Xenopus tropicalis: one gene and its partner. Each later gene encodes a partner of the first gene's protein in a complex. Links are inferred from orthologs where the notes say so. Each region holds a gene or a part of one and is shown on either strand. Other genes may lie near its edges.

The links. The genes of interacting proteins can lie anywhere in the genome.
Region 2: the proteins of map3k3 (region 1) and ccm2 are in contact, whole or in part, in a crystal structure (PDB 4Y5O), measured with the Homo sapiens proteins. The link is inferred for Xenopus tropicalis from reciprocal best matches to the Homo sapiens genes MAP3K3 and CCM2. Residues at the interface, in NP_002392.2 of Homo sapiens: Asp2, Glu3, Gln4, Ala6, Leu7, Ser9, Ile10, Met11, Asn12, Asp13, Leu14, Val15, Ala16, Leu17, Glu50, Asp82, His84, Met86, Asn88, Glu89, Leu90, Ser91, Ile92, Leu93, Arg117, Leu119, Leu121, Ser122, Gln123, Asp124; in NP_113631.1 of Homo sapiens: Leu299, Tyr302, Met303, Leu306, Arg307, Ser312, Gln313, Ile315, Gln316, Gln317, Phe318, Ala319, Ala320, Leu321, Leu322, His323, Glu324, Arg326, Glu333, Ile336, Asn337, Gln340, Leu341, Leu353, Phe356, Pro358.

The regions. Positions count from the first base shown.
Region 1 is NC_030686.2:17,072,003-17,078,318, reverse strand, and holds part of map3k3 (mitogen-activated protein kinase kinase kinase 3), read left to right. Parts: intron 1-143; coding exon 144-184; intron 185-2,984; coding exon 2,985-3,084; intron 3,085-4,478; coding exon 4,479-4,592; intron 4,593-6,316. UniProt on the Homo sapiens protein: Component of a protein kinase signal transduction cascade. Mediates activation of the NF-kappa-B, AP1 and DDIT3 transcriptional regulators.
Region 2 is NC_030682.2:12,527,732-12,533,936, forward strand, and holds the end of ccm2 (cerebral cavernous malformations 2 protein), read left to right. Parts: coding exon 1-103; intron 104-187; coding exon 188-323; intron 324-745; coding exon 746-803; intron 804-1,157; coding exon 1,158-1,293; intron 1,294-1,379; coding exon 1,380-1,518; intron 1,519-1,965; coding exon 1,966-2,270; 3' UTR 2,271-4,402; downstream 4,403-6,205. UniProt on the Homo sapiens protein: Component of the CCM signaling pathway which is a crucial regulator of heart and vessel formation and integrity. May act through the stabilization of endothelial cell junctions. May function as a scaffold protein for MAP2K3-MAP3K3 signaling.

The DNA.
Region 1 (6,316 bases):
TGAATTACCATAGCAAGTTAATTTGCAGGCCTAAAAGCTGCAGAATGTAAGACAGTAGTTTTCATACAACAACACAACATTGCTTGTGTCAGTGTTGCCCCTTCCAGCCTTGTTAATATTTATTGTTGTTTTAAATATTACAGACGGATGTCAGAATAAAGTTTGAGCACAGTGGGGAGAGAAGGTAAGCCAAAATCTGTTTTATTCATGTGCACTTATGCAAATATTTGAAGTGTTTCAGTCCCAGCAGATTTGAAGGAGAACAAAACCCCCCAGAGTTCTTCTGAACTGCACTACTGGTTACCCATTAAACAGCCTGTTTTCTGTAGCTGGTTCTAAAACGTTAAAGTAATATTGTCATGAACAAACATCAGTTAATAGAGCTTCTCCAGCAGAATCCTGCATTGAAATCTGTTTTTTAAAAAGCGCAAACAGATTTTTTTATATTTAATTTTGAAATTTCACATGGGGCTAGCCACTCCCTTACTTTCCCATGTCCCCTTAGCCATATGACTTGTACACTTATAAACTTCAGTCACACTTTACCGCTGTGCTGCAAGTTGGAGTGATATCACCCCCCTCCCTTTCTTCCCCAGCAGCCGGTCAGCAGAACAATGGGAAGGGAGCAAGATAGCAGCTACCTGACACCTGTATTGCTAAAAAGGGGTAGATATCAGAATAGCACTCAGCAGTAAATAATATTAGACCAGCTTGGGACTCCTCCAGTTACATAGGAGTAGCAGAAACAGTTCTAATGTGTAGAACTGGCTACACACCAATATTGCATCTTGAAAATTTGTTGGTTCAAGAATAAAATGTAAATGGTAGAGTACATTATAAACAGTGTAATTAAGAAATACAAAGTACACCATGTGGGGGAGGGCTCTGGAGGTACCAAGCTATAAAGAAGGGTTGAGTTCTCCTTTCAGAAGAAATGCTAGCTATGCTTTGGATGTCTAACAGGGTAATGGCAGTCATCTTTGCAATCACAGTTGCTTTTAACATCACTTGGATGTGTAGTGGTTTGAATAGTTAAACTGGGCATCTGTTTTCTGTCCTGGTATATGGTTTCTTGGTTACTAATAATAAAAGTTCCTATATGTTGCTTCTTACTGAACATTGGGAAAACGACTGGGTGATTGCCCCTTTTATAAATTTGTGTGTTGGATTAAGAGGAGTGTTACATGCTATTCCAAAATTAGTTGAATTCTGTTATTTTGCTCTATTTTTTTTTTTGTTTTGATGTTAAATAATGTTAGCCTTGTATTACAGTAAAATGTATTTAATAGTTATAACTATTTGAGTTTTGCCTCCTATTCCATTATTAAAATGGGAAAGCATTTATTATTAATAATAATTGTGTTCAGTCTGTTCATCAAATTGTTAGGGTATGTGGAACCTTAAAAATAACATATTAAGTTTCAGTTCTAAAGCTCCAAACTGCCCATGAAAACAAGGCTTTTCAAGCACAGTGATGCACAGTTTTGGTGTCCTAGATTTGATTCCATCCAGGGCACAGTCTTCAAAGACTTTCTGTGTTCTTCCCATGCTTGTATTTTTTTTTTCTGGGACAGTTTTCCTTCCACATTGCAAAAACATACAGACAGTTTACTTGATTAGATTGTAGTTTCCAATGGGACTGATGTTATAAGCTGGAGCTATATAAGTAAAGAATAATAACAATCGTTAAATAGAATTGGAGTGATAAGCCATCCAGTATGAATCAATCTACCAAGAGATGTTAAGGCCAAAATCTGTTTGTACTGGCACATCAAGCACCTTTTTTTAGAAGCATCAATGATCACCCCTTGACAAATACATATTAGATAACATAGAATAAAAATGCTTCAGATTTAACTTTAGCATCTTTATGTATAACATTATCATAAAATAAAGTATAATAGAGTCTCTTTAAGAGTCTTCTGTATGGTGATAACATAAGAAAAAGTTAAGGTAAAGTCTCCCAATGAATGGCCTGATTGTGAACTGGCATTGCTACGTGCCCTGGTTTCCCTCCTCCTCATGGTGTTTGCATTTACAGACAGGAGGAGTGAAATGGCCATGTGGTTGCTTGGAGTCTGCCAGGTCTAACCACAAATATGTAAGATGGCCGGAAAGTGAGCTGAGAGGATTTGGCTTTGGGGAGGCCTAGATAGGACTCTATAATACAGCATCGTGAAATTTAGCTCATTTCTATTTGGGATCCCAAAGTGCTTTTTAGTTTTAGCTGAATTTTCATCAAAGGCTGATACAAAATATTTCAGGAATGTTCCGTGTGGTTTCTTTTCTTTCCAAATAATGTATCCCAAACAGGATTAAATAAAACATGGCGGCTGTAGTTTTTACAACTGTGCCAGCCTATGAATTAAATATGAATGCAGTTCTTATGTTAGTATACTTAAGCTAGTAGCACACAGGGTGTTTTAATCATCTGTCAAAATGCTTTTTAGCAGCAGCTTTTCGTCATACTGAATAGAGAGGATGGCTGCCCTATGGCACTTTCCATATCCAGTAGGAGGTTAACTGGCTGCAGCAATGAAAAATGAAGGTGTGCCATCACCCTTAATGCAGCAAAATCCAGGCAGACTTGTCCCATAACTGACAATGCAGATAACTGAATAGTATTGTTCCTCTCATTTCAGCTGATATCTCAGTAGAGGGGGTCTGTAAAAGAGGGAGATGTGATTTAATTCAATTCTGCATGTGTCAAGATGACATTCAGTTTGGCCAGATTTACTGAAATCCAGTTGATAGAGAATCAGTAGTAGAGCACCTGTACCTAAAAGACCATTTCAACAGATATGCATTTTTGTCAATAGAATTTACTTGAGCAAGAGTAGAGGTATAAAGGGGAGCCATACAAAGAGTGAGCTTTGTACTATATTTTCCCTAGATTTGCAGCCTTTACAATTTATTTTTCAAATCCGATTTCTTCAAATATTCTCTTTCCCACTTCTCTGATTTTGTGAATTGCCTTTTTTTAGAATCCTACAGTTTTCTAGGCCTGTAAAGTTTGAAGAGGTGGAACAGAAAGTAAAGAATGTCTTTGGGCAACAGCTGGATCTCTATTACATGAACAATGAGGTAGGTAAATCAGCACAAGAGACGTGGAGTTTCAGATGTGCACAAATACAGTTACTCGTGGGATGAATAGACTTTGATCACATACGGAGCAATGGAGACCGAGTGCTTCTCCCCATTGGTCCATATGTGAGCTAAGTGGGTGCATATGCATGCGCATGGGGAGAGTGGGGGGGAGGTAGGTGGGCAGAGAAAGGTGACAGCCTCGGGCTGCCAGCCCTGGCTCCACATAGGACTATTTTGTTGCTGCCCATATTCGAATGAAGAGCTGACATGTTCATTGTGATTCTGATTTAGCTACAGATTATATCTAGCCCTGCCCTATATAAAGCTGTGCCTTCTCATAATAATAAAAGCACCCATAAAGACACTGTCATTGATTGCAATGTTTGACTTGTTAAAGCAAGTAAACAACACAGGCAACAACATGTGCACATTTTTTTTATTTATTATTTGTTATTATTATATTGCTTATACGTATACTCCGTGTTTTACATTAATGATAGACATTCACATCAATCCCTGCCCCAGTGGAGCTTACAGGCTAAGGTCCCTATATCTACACACACTAGGGTAAATTTTGCCAGAAGCCAGTTAACCCAATACTATTTTTTTAGGGACTTATAATTGAAATGAGTATATAAAATTGATAACTAGACATAAGTCAACCTGTTCTTCAGCATGTTAATTAAAAACTCTTAGCACCCCTAACAGCCCTTCACTGGTTGTGGGACAATGGGATTTTTCAACATTTAAAGGTATACTGGTGGATTCATTTTTTGATCAGTGGGCTTTAGTTTTTTTGTTTCTGTACTTATATCACACTGACCTCTCCTTATTAAACAGAAACATGTAAAGTATTAAGTATTATTATGAAGCTACGAAAAGGTTCAGTCACTCTGTGGAATAGTTCAGAGGAATAGAAGTAGTGGTACAAAGTTTCTTCAGGTCTTGCAAACAATCAGCAGTAAACAATGTCTTGGCTACTTCTTAATATTTAAAGAAAGCATCTTGTTGTTATGACTTTCACCAGCAAATGTGTTGGCAGTTGCCATTAGCCCCCATAGTTTAGTGATGTCATCAGTTATAATCAAATCTTACAGGCAAATTTATCAAAATGTGAAAGTAAAGCTCACCACAGAAGAAACTTACCCACTTTCTATTCAATCCTATGGGATTGAGTTCACCATTTGATAAATGTGCTTCTAAAATTCCCATAGAAATAAATAGAAAGTGGTACATTATTCACTTTATAAAGTCAGAGAAATGTCTGAAAAAAGACAGTGACAAAATGCAGACAAATCTCCAGGTCTTCATGGGTAGGTGTCATGGTGCACCTACATTTTAATATGTCCTTTAAATGCCATGTCATACAGGTCTTTTTTTACTTACTGTAGCTCTCCATTCCCCTCCGAAGTCAGGATGACCTGGACAAGGCTGTGGATCTTCTGGACCGGAGTTCCAGCATGAAAAGCCTCCGGATTTTGTTGCTTTCTCATGATAAGAATCATGTAAGACTTGAGTTGGGAAACTTTGGGTGATCTGTCTGTGGATGACTTATATCTGCCATAAAAGTAGTGCAGGGTATTTGAAGGCCTAGACCAGGGGTACCCACAGTTTGTCACCCTGTGGTCTACTCTTGCCATCTGGCCTCCATCATGAGATCTACTTTAATAAAAATAGTTGATGTTTAATACCTAAATACACATAGCAATATATATAAATGAAGTGTCAAATTCACATTTAATGCTCAGATAACATTATACAAGATCAACACAGCAGTATGGCTGCAGTCATAAGCTCTGTTATGTTGAGGCACAAAAGAAGTGGTGGGATGGCATCCCACCTTGTGGTCTACCAAAAACTTTAAAGTGATCTACTGGTAGACCACGCTCTACCTCTTGGCCACCCCTGGCCTAGACGTATCTCTTGACCAACTCAATTTACAGGGGCAGACAGATTCCTTTTATTATGCACCATATTGTGATGTAAAGGATGGTTATTAGGCAATTGATAAAAAAACATTCTGTAAAGCAAACAATCATTATATTATTTATTCTAAAAAGATATAGCTTTGTGATTACACAAGTGCAGCATCTTAGTTTTAGCCACTAGGACAGAAGAAAATGACTGCATCCTAGTACTAAGAAAGTATTATCTGCTGATGGCAATGTTAAGCCTCAAAGTGCAATGCAGCAAAAGATATCGGTAGAGGTGTTATTGTCCTCGCCCATGTAGGTTTTGTTCTGACTAGGTAATTACCATTATATTTCCTGCCAGTCTGTCATATAGAGAAAAGATAGTGATCTTCTACTATCCTCTATTTATTTTCTCAGAACTCTTGATCACTGGTGCAAACCAATTAAATTTCTCTTATGTCATGGGGGACACAGGAACATTGGGGTAAAGGGCCTCTCCCGCTAGGAGGCAGGACGCTGCAGTGATGTCAGAATTGTTGCTCCTCCCTCTCGCCTTTTACCCTCTTGCTTGGCTAGCAGAGCTCTGTTTTCAAAGTAGGTTAAGACTAGCCTCTAGAGAGGCTCTGCACAAGGACTACATTGGTCAGTGGTTAGCACTGACAACTGGGGTAAGACCAGAGTCAGCAACTTGTTTGCACTCAGAATGTCAGCCCCTTTTGCAGGATTCCACTACTGTGCCCAGGTTATCCCTGAAGTTCCAGTAGGTAACCCCAGGCCTGGATTTGTGGAAAGGCCACAAAGGCCCGGGCCTAGGGCGGCACAAGTTTAGGGGCGGCATGCCGCCCCGCCGCAACAGAATTTTTAAATTTGGCTCCCATACGGAGCAGTCAGGACCTCTCCCCACTGCTCCGTATGGGAGTTTAAATGTGCGATTGCGCATGCGCGTTGATCGCGCATGTGCACTCAGGGGGAGAGGGCGCCGCGCGTTCGGGGCGGGGGCGGTCTCGGGGCGCCGAGAACTTAAATCCGGCCCTGGGTAACCTATTTGGGCAAAAGAATGTAATGGCAGAGTCTGGGGTGCCCCTTACTGGACAGGAAGAGACGAGTGCTATTCGCTGGTTCTCTCCACTGAGGTAAGCGGGCTCACTTCCCCTCCCTCCCCTGCCTTCAGTTAGCATGCGCCATTAGCTTCTCACGCGATGATGATATCATGGCTTCCCGCCTGCCACTTCCAGACGTGATCTAGTCAGAAAAGGCGGGTCTTCCTTCTTCACGCACACCCTGACACAGGCACAGCTTTGATTCCTCTTTTTCGC
Region 2 (6,205 bases), on another chromosome or scaffold:
CTCTGCAGAAAGCGCCAAAGGGATCACATCGGGGTCCCTGTCCGAGTGCGGGACGGTGCCGGTGGACGCTTGCTGCCTTGTTATCTTGGCTACAGAGAACAAGGTATGGGGGGGCTTCCCTGTACGATGGGTGGGAGGGGAGTTCTGGGAACCCCCTTCTGATTGTCCTGCTGTCCCCTCCCTACAGGCAGCTGCCGAGGAGCTATGTTTACTGCTGAGCCAAGTCTTCCAGATCGTTTACACGGAATCCACCATAGATTTTCTAGACCGAGCAATATTTGACGGGGCCTCCACTCCCACGCGCCACATGTCCTTACACAGCGGTAAGCCTGGAGTTCCGCCAATGACTCCCTCCAGTAGGGAGATCCTGCATCACCTTCTCATGTGTCTGTGCTCCGTGTAATAATAAAACGTTAGGTTTTATGTCTGACATTGGGCAGTACGGTGGCTCAGTGGTCAGGGTCGCTGGGGTAGCAGGTTTGATTCCAGCCAGGGCAATTTCTTCAAGGAGTTTCTTTTCCTGTGTGGGTTTCCTCATACACCCCAAAAACATACAGGCAGGTTAGCTCCAATAGAATCGACCCCATTGTGTATGCAACGGTGATAGATTGTAAGCTCCATTGGTGCAGGGACTGATGGGAATGATTTATATTCTCTGTGGAATGTGTCGGTGCTATATAAATGAAGGATATATATTTTCTTTTATAAATAAAGGATAATAATGAGCTTTCTCTGGTTTTTGCAGATGACTCTTCCACCAAAGTGGATGTGAAGGAAGCGTATGAGCTGGAAGCCAGCACCTTGTAAGTCATCTCCGGGAATCGGTATTTTTCAGATGCTGACAACTCCCACATGCCATAAGGTTTCATTAGGAAGCAATGGGAGTTCAAGATGGCGAAATAAAGAATATGAAGCAGTTGCGCGCCCCCTGCTGTTCTGCTTGGCTGGCCATTCATCCTTACTGAGTAGAGTAGTGCCTCCTGATGCTTTGCTGCTCAGATTTATCACTCGGCTGACAGTGAGCAGAAAGGGGCAGTAGAGTTGGCCAGTCCCCAGAGTTAATAAAGCCACTTCCAAAGAACATTCTAGAAGGAAGTTATGTTTAGTGTGCCCTGTAGAGGGATAACACTGGTAGCTTTTCTTTTTTCCCTTTGCAGTTCTTTCCCTGAGTCTGTGGACGCCGATGGTAATTCCCCAACCTCCCTCTCCAATCTCCATTCCCCTAACAAGACGGCCAGTGAGAGTGAGCTGAGTGCCACTGCCGCCGAGCTGCTGCAGGACTACATGATGACGGTAAGAAGCCTCGCTGTATGTGTGCAGCATAATAGCGCCCCCTACTGTGTGCACCACTGCCCACCCCTCTCTCCTTGTATTTCCAGCTGAGGACTAAGCTCTCGTCGCAGGAGATCCAGCAGTTTGCGATGCTGCTTCACGAATACCGCAACGGCTCCTCAATTCACGAGTTCTGCATTAACCTACGGCAGCTGTATGGGGACAGCAGGAAGTTTCTGCTGCTCGGTAATGAGGCGCTGGGGGCGGGGCACACATCTGCAAAAATGTTTGCTTCTTACTATGTACTTGGACTTATTTTTTATATTGTTCATTTTGCCTTCAGTTTGTCATGGTACAAAGCTTTGTCTTTGCTTACTGACTGCTTTTGGGCTGCTCTCTTTCCTGTGGTCAGTTGGGAACAGAGCTTGGCTGGATGCTTTTCTTATTGACCCGTGTAAATGATCGGTTTGAACATTAGGGGAAGTCCATTCTTTATCTGCCATGCTATAATGATCAATGTACACTAGGCACCTCTTTCATTTGGATCCAAGCCCCATTTCTCATCCTGACCACGGGGAGGAGAGCAGCCTGAGGAAGTGACATAAATATTCTGTGCTGTGTAAGTAAAAAAAAAAAATACCATAGAGGTTCATGAGTGTTAACAGACAGTGTGTTTTTTTTTTTTTTATGCAGGGCTCCGCCCCTTCATCCCAGAGAAGGATAGCCAACATTTTGAGAACTTCCTAGAAACCATAGGGGTAAAAGACGGGCGCGGTATCATCACAGACAGCTTTGGGCGGTACAGGCGGACAATGAGTTCCACCTCCCATTCCACGACCAATGGAAATGGTGCAGCGGGGGGCTCGGATGACCAGTCGGGGCCCTCTGAAGGGGACGAGTGGGACCGGATGATTTCTGACATCAGTAATGACATTGAAGCCCTTGGCTGCTGCATGGACCAAGACCCTTCTCACGGGGGCGCTGTAAACTATTCGTGATTGGCTGGGCATGGACCCGGTCAGGTTTCCTCACCAGCATAAAGAACCAAATAAGCAAAAGATGGCGGCCGAGTTGCCACGTCGTTCTATTTTTTTATCGCGTTCTCTATGTAAAGCCAAGATTGTATCCCCAAGCACTGGCGCCATCATACGTGCCCAAGTTTTGGTTGGGCCGAAGCTCAGCGCAAGGTGGACTTGCCTCCGACGTGACCCAAAGCAGGAATTAAACTGCGTTTCCCGCCATTTCTACGGAAACGATGGACATTTCGTACGTCAGCGGACGGACCAGTACAATCTCTGGGCTGGCGGTTGTTACACTCGGACCGTACTATTTTCATGCATCAATAGAAGTCAACATTTACCACAATGTGAAGAACACAAAGCCGCGAGCAGCGCTGAAAGCGTTTGGACCAACGCCCGGTGACGGTCCCAGCGGCTTCCTTCCCATCAAGGCAACACTAATCCTGTACAGATATACGAGTGAGGGCTGTACAACAAACACACAGGAGACAGCAGCGGGCATCTCTCTGGCTCTTTTCCTCTCTGTGCCGTGCCGCCATCTCTAAGGATTTGCCAGCAATGCAGGAAAGTGCGTTTCTGCTGTTGCTTTACTGCAAATGTGAAAGGTCATTCATTGGCAGCTGCAGGGGCTGCCTGGGAAATCCTGGAAGATGGTGGCATGGCACTCACAGGAAATGTGCCCTGAGCAATGTGGAGCACTGGCCTAGGGGCCAAGGTTTGCGCTTATATTCACTGGGGGTAATTGCCCTCCCCCCGCCCCTTCTTTTCTGGGGATCATTACCTATTTTTATATTCTGTCTGTCACAGATACACAACCCCTAGATCCAGGGGAGTGCTGGGAGTTGTAATATGGCAGAAGCTGCTGCTCCAAAGGTGTCCAATCCCTGTTCCAATACATTCCTGGATCACCAGGGACAGGGGATAGGTTAGCCAATGCCCTTCGTGGAGGCGGCCATCTTTACTTGGGCTCCATGTTATATGGGCAGAGGGGTTTGCATAGAAACACAAGCTGTTTACAGGCATCGCCATGGATTGCTACACACGTAACACCCACAATGCATTGTGTTGCCACACGCTGCTCGCGCCGGAGTGCCAAGACATTTTGTGTTACAGAACCGAGGTTTTATTTTTCATTTTTGTATAATTATTTTGTTGCAGTGTTTTTATCTGCGTACGAGGCCTGCCCCAACTTCCTGCCATTGCCCCCCAGTCACTGTATAGATATTTATATCCCCTGACTTCTCGGTGCGGTGCAATGCAGCCCTCCGGCTCGGCCCCAGGCAGCCACACCCACATTCCAGCTATGAGTGCATCTGGCGCGTGGGTTCTCCTGTTACATCTGTATCCTGTTTATTTAGGGATAGACCTGTATCTCTTTCCATTGCAGAGCCACCCCTGGATATGTATTATGGTCTCTTCCAGAGGAAGCAGATACCTACTGACTTTCCAGCTGGGGGGCCACGGCCTCTCTTATTGCCCCTGCTTATATATGAATTGGGACTAGCATCACCCCCTTCCATGGCAGCAGTTCTGTTTAAAGGGGAAGTAAAGAATCTGATTTCTGCAGCTGGTTCTCATCTCTTTGAAGGGGCTGCAGCGTTCAGTGTGTAGGGGTGTCAGGAAGAGAATTGGGGAGGGGACTGTAACTATGGAACTGTGAGCATAGCATCAAGTCACAGAACTGCATGGTGTGTATCATTATAGAACACAGAGTAGGGGGCACTAACTAAAGGCAGGGAGGGGGTGGCAGTGGAAGGGGCTGTAACTGCGGGACAGTACAATATAATCTTCCCATCAGGCCTTGCATTGTCCAGCAGTGATGTTTTTGCTGTCCTAGAATCCTTTGCACCGTCCCCCCCCCCCCCCCCCATTCTGTTACAAGGTCAGACATGCAGGAAGCAGGGGAGACCCGTGGGGCAATTTGGTTTATTTGTGAGACGCACTGACTGTGTTACTGATGGGTGTGTGTAGTTGTGCGAGTGTCGGGAGCCAATAGGAATTGCCGTGTCTTTTTATTTTTGCAGCTTTGTGCATCATTTCTGTTTACCCTTTATGATTGGATACTTTTTGTATGTAGTATTTTTACCTGTAAATACATGCGTGCATCTAAAGGCTTCTGTGTGTTTGTTTTTTGTACCCCCAAATCTGGCTTCCCTGTTTGATTGCAAGCTCCTCGGTACACAGCATGTTCTGGGTTTATGGTAAGTACCAAGTGGAGCACAGATATGTGGGTGCATCTGAAGCATCCTGGCCAGCCATTAACATTATGGCACTTCCTTCAGTGGGGGAGATGGTTCTACTTAACTGAAGGGTAGGGGGCGCCCTTGGCTCTGCACTGTATTCATTATGCTGTAGGGAACGGTAATGTCATGTGTGGAGTAGAGACTTAACTGAAGAATTACACGCCCTCCCCTGGCTACAGACAGGGGGCAGTATATAGAAAAAATATATAGTCCCCAGCCCTACAGGGAGCCCTAGCTAACCCAGAAACCCCACCCCTAAGAGAAAGGAGTGGAGGTGTGGGCAACTGCCCCTTGCATAATACTCTGCCCATTGCTAAATGCAGGGGGTAAGGCGGGGGCAACAGGGCACAGCCCAAACATCTACCCCCTAGTGGAGGTAGGAGGATTAATTACAGTGGATTGGAGCTTTCCTGCCTACATTTCCTAAGGATGGGGCAATATGTAAGTCTCTCTGCCTGGGGGGGGGGGGGGTAGAACCCTGCCAGCAGCTCTCCCTACAGGGTGCAAGACCCATGGGTGAACTCTGCACTGATTCCCCTATTGTAAATGAAGCTGCCGTGTATCCTGCAGCAGTTGCTAATGAAGCTGCCGTGTATCCTGCAGCAGTTGCTAATGAAGCTGCCGTGTATCCTGCAGCAGTTGCTAATGAAGCTGCCATGTATCCTGCAGCAGTTGCTAATGAAGCTACCATGTATCCTGCAGCAGTTGCTAATGAAGCTGCCATGTATCCTGCAGCAGTTGCAAATGAAGCTGCCATGTATCCTGCAGCAGTTGCTAATGAAGCTGCCATGTGTCCTGCAGCAGTTGCTAATAAAGCTGCCATGTATCCTGCAGCAGTTGCTAATGAAGCTACCATGTATCCTGCAGCAGTTGCTGATGAAGCTGCCATGTATCCTGCAGCAGTTGCTAATAAAGCTGCCATGTATCCTGCAGCAGTTGCTAATGAAGCTACCATGTATCCTGCAGCAGTTGCTAATGAAGCTGCCATGTATCCTGCAGCAGTTGCTTACACTTGGTGTGGGACAGATTTAGCTGATGAGTCCCATTTGGGTATAGAATCCACTGGGCACACTTTGCTATGATTTACCCTTGAGCAACTGACATTTCCCATACTTGCCGCAACCTACTGGACAAACTGGAAATTACAATTAGCTTTATACAAGAGAGACTTGCCCTGCACACAGGTAGCCCTTTCTCCAGCTGAGCCGTACATATGGCCGCACAGCCGCTGTCAGACACTGTGATAGAAAGAGAGCCAAGCGGAAATGTGGGCTGAGAGAGTTTCTATCTTACTCTCCCCTAGTGATGCACTAAAGCACTCATTTGAGCAGTCACTATTTACTAACATTTCAGCTGCTTTTTGTGCATAAGTTTGGGGAATTTGCCATTTTTACAAAATTTTAAATATGTGGGGTTTTTCCTGTGATAATTTGTCAGGATAATGCCCCTCCCACAAGGTGCTGGTTCTCAAGAATCTGCCTTTCCCACACAGTGCAATGCCTCAAGTAGCACCCATCATATGATTCTCTGCTTCAGTGTAACACCCCTCCCATGAGGTGCTGGGCCTGAAGATAATGCCCCTCACACAGGGTGCTGGGCCTCAGGTTAACCCAGGATGCTAACCATACATAACAGTCCTGAGCTTCAGAATAGCACCTATACCTCGCAGTG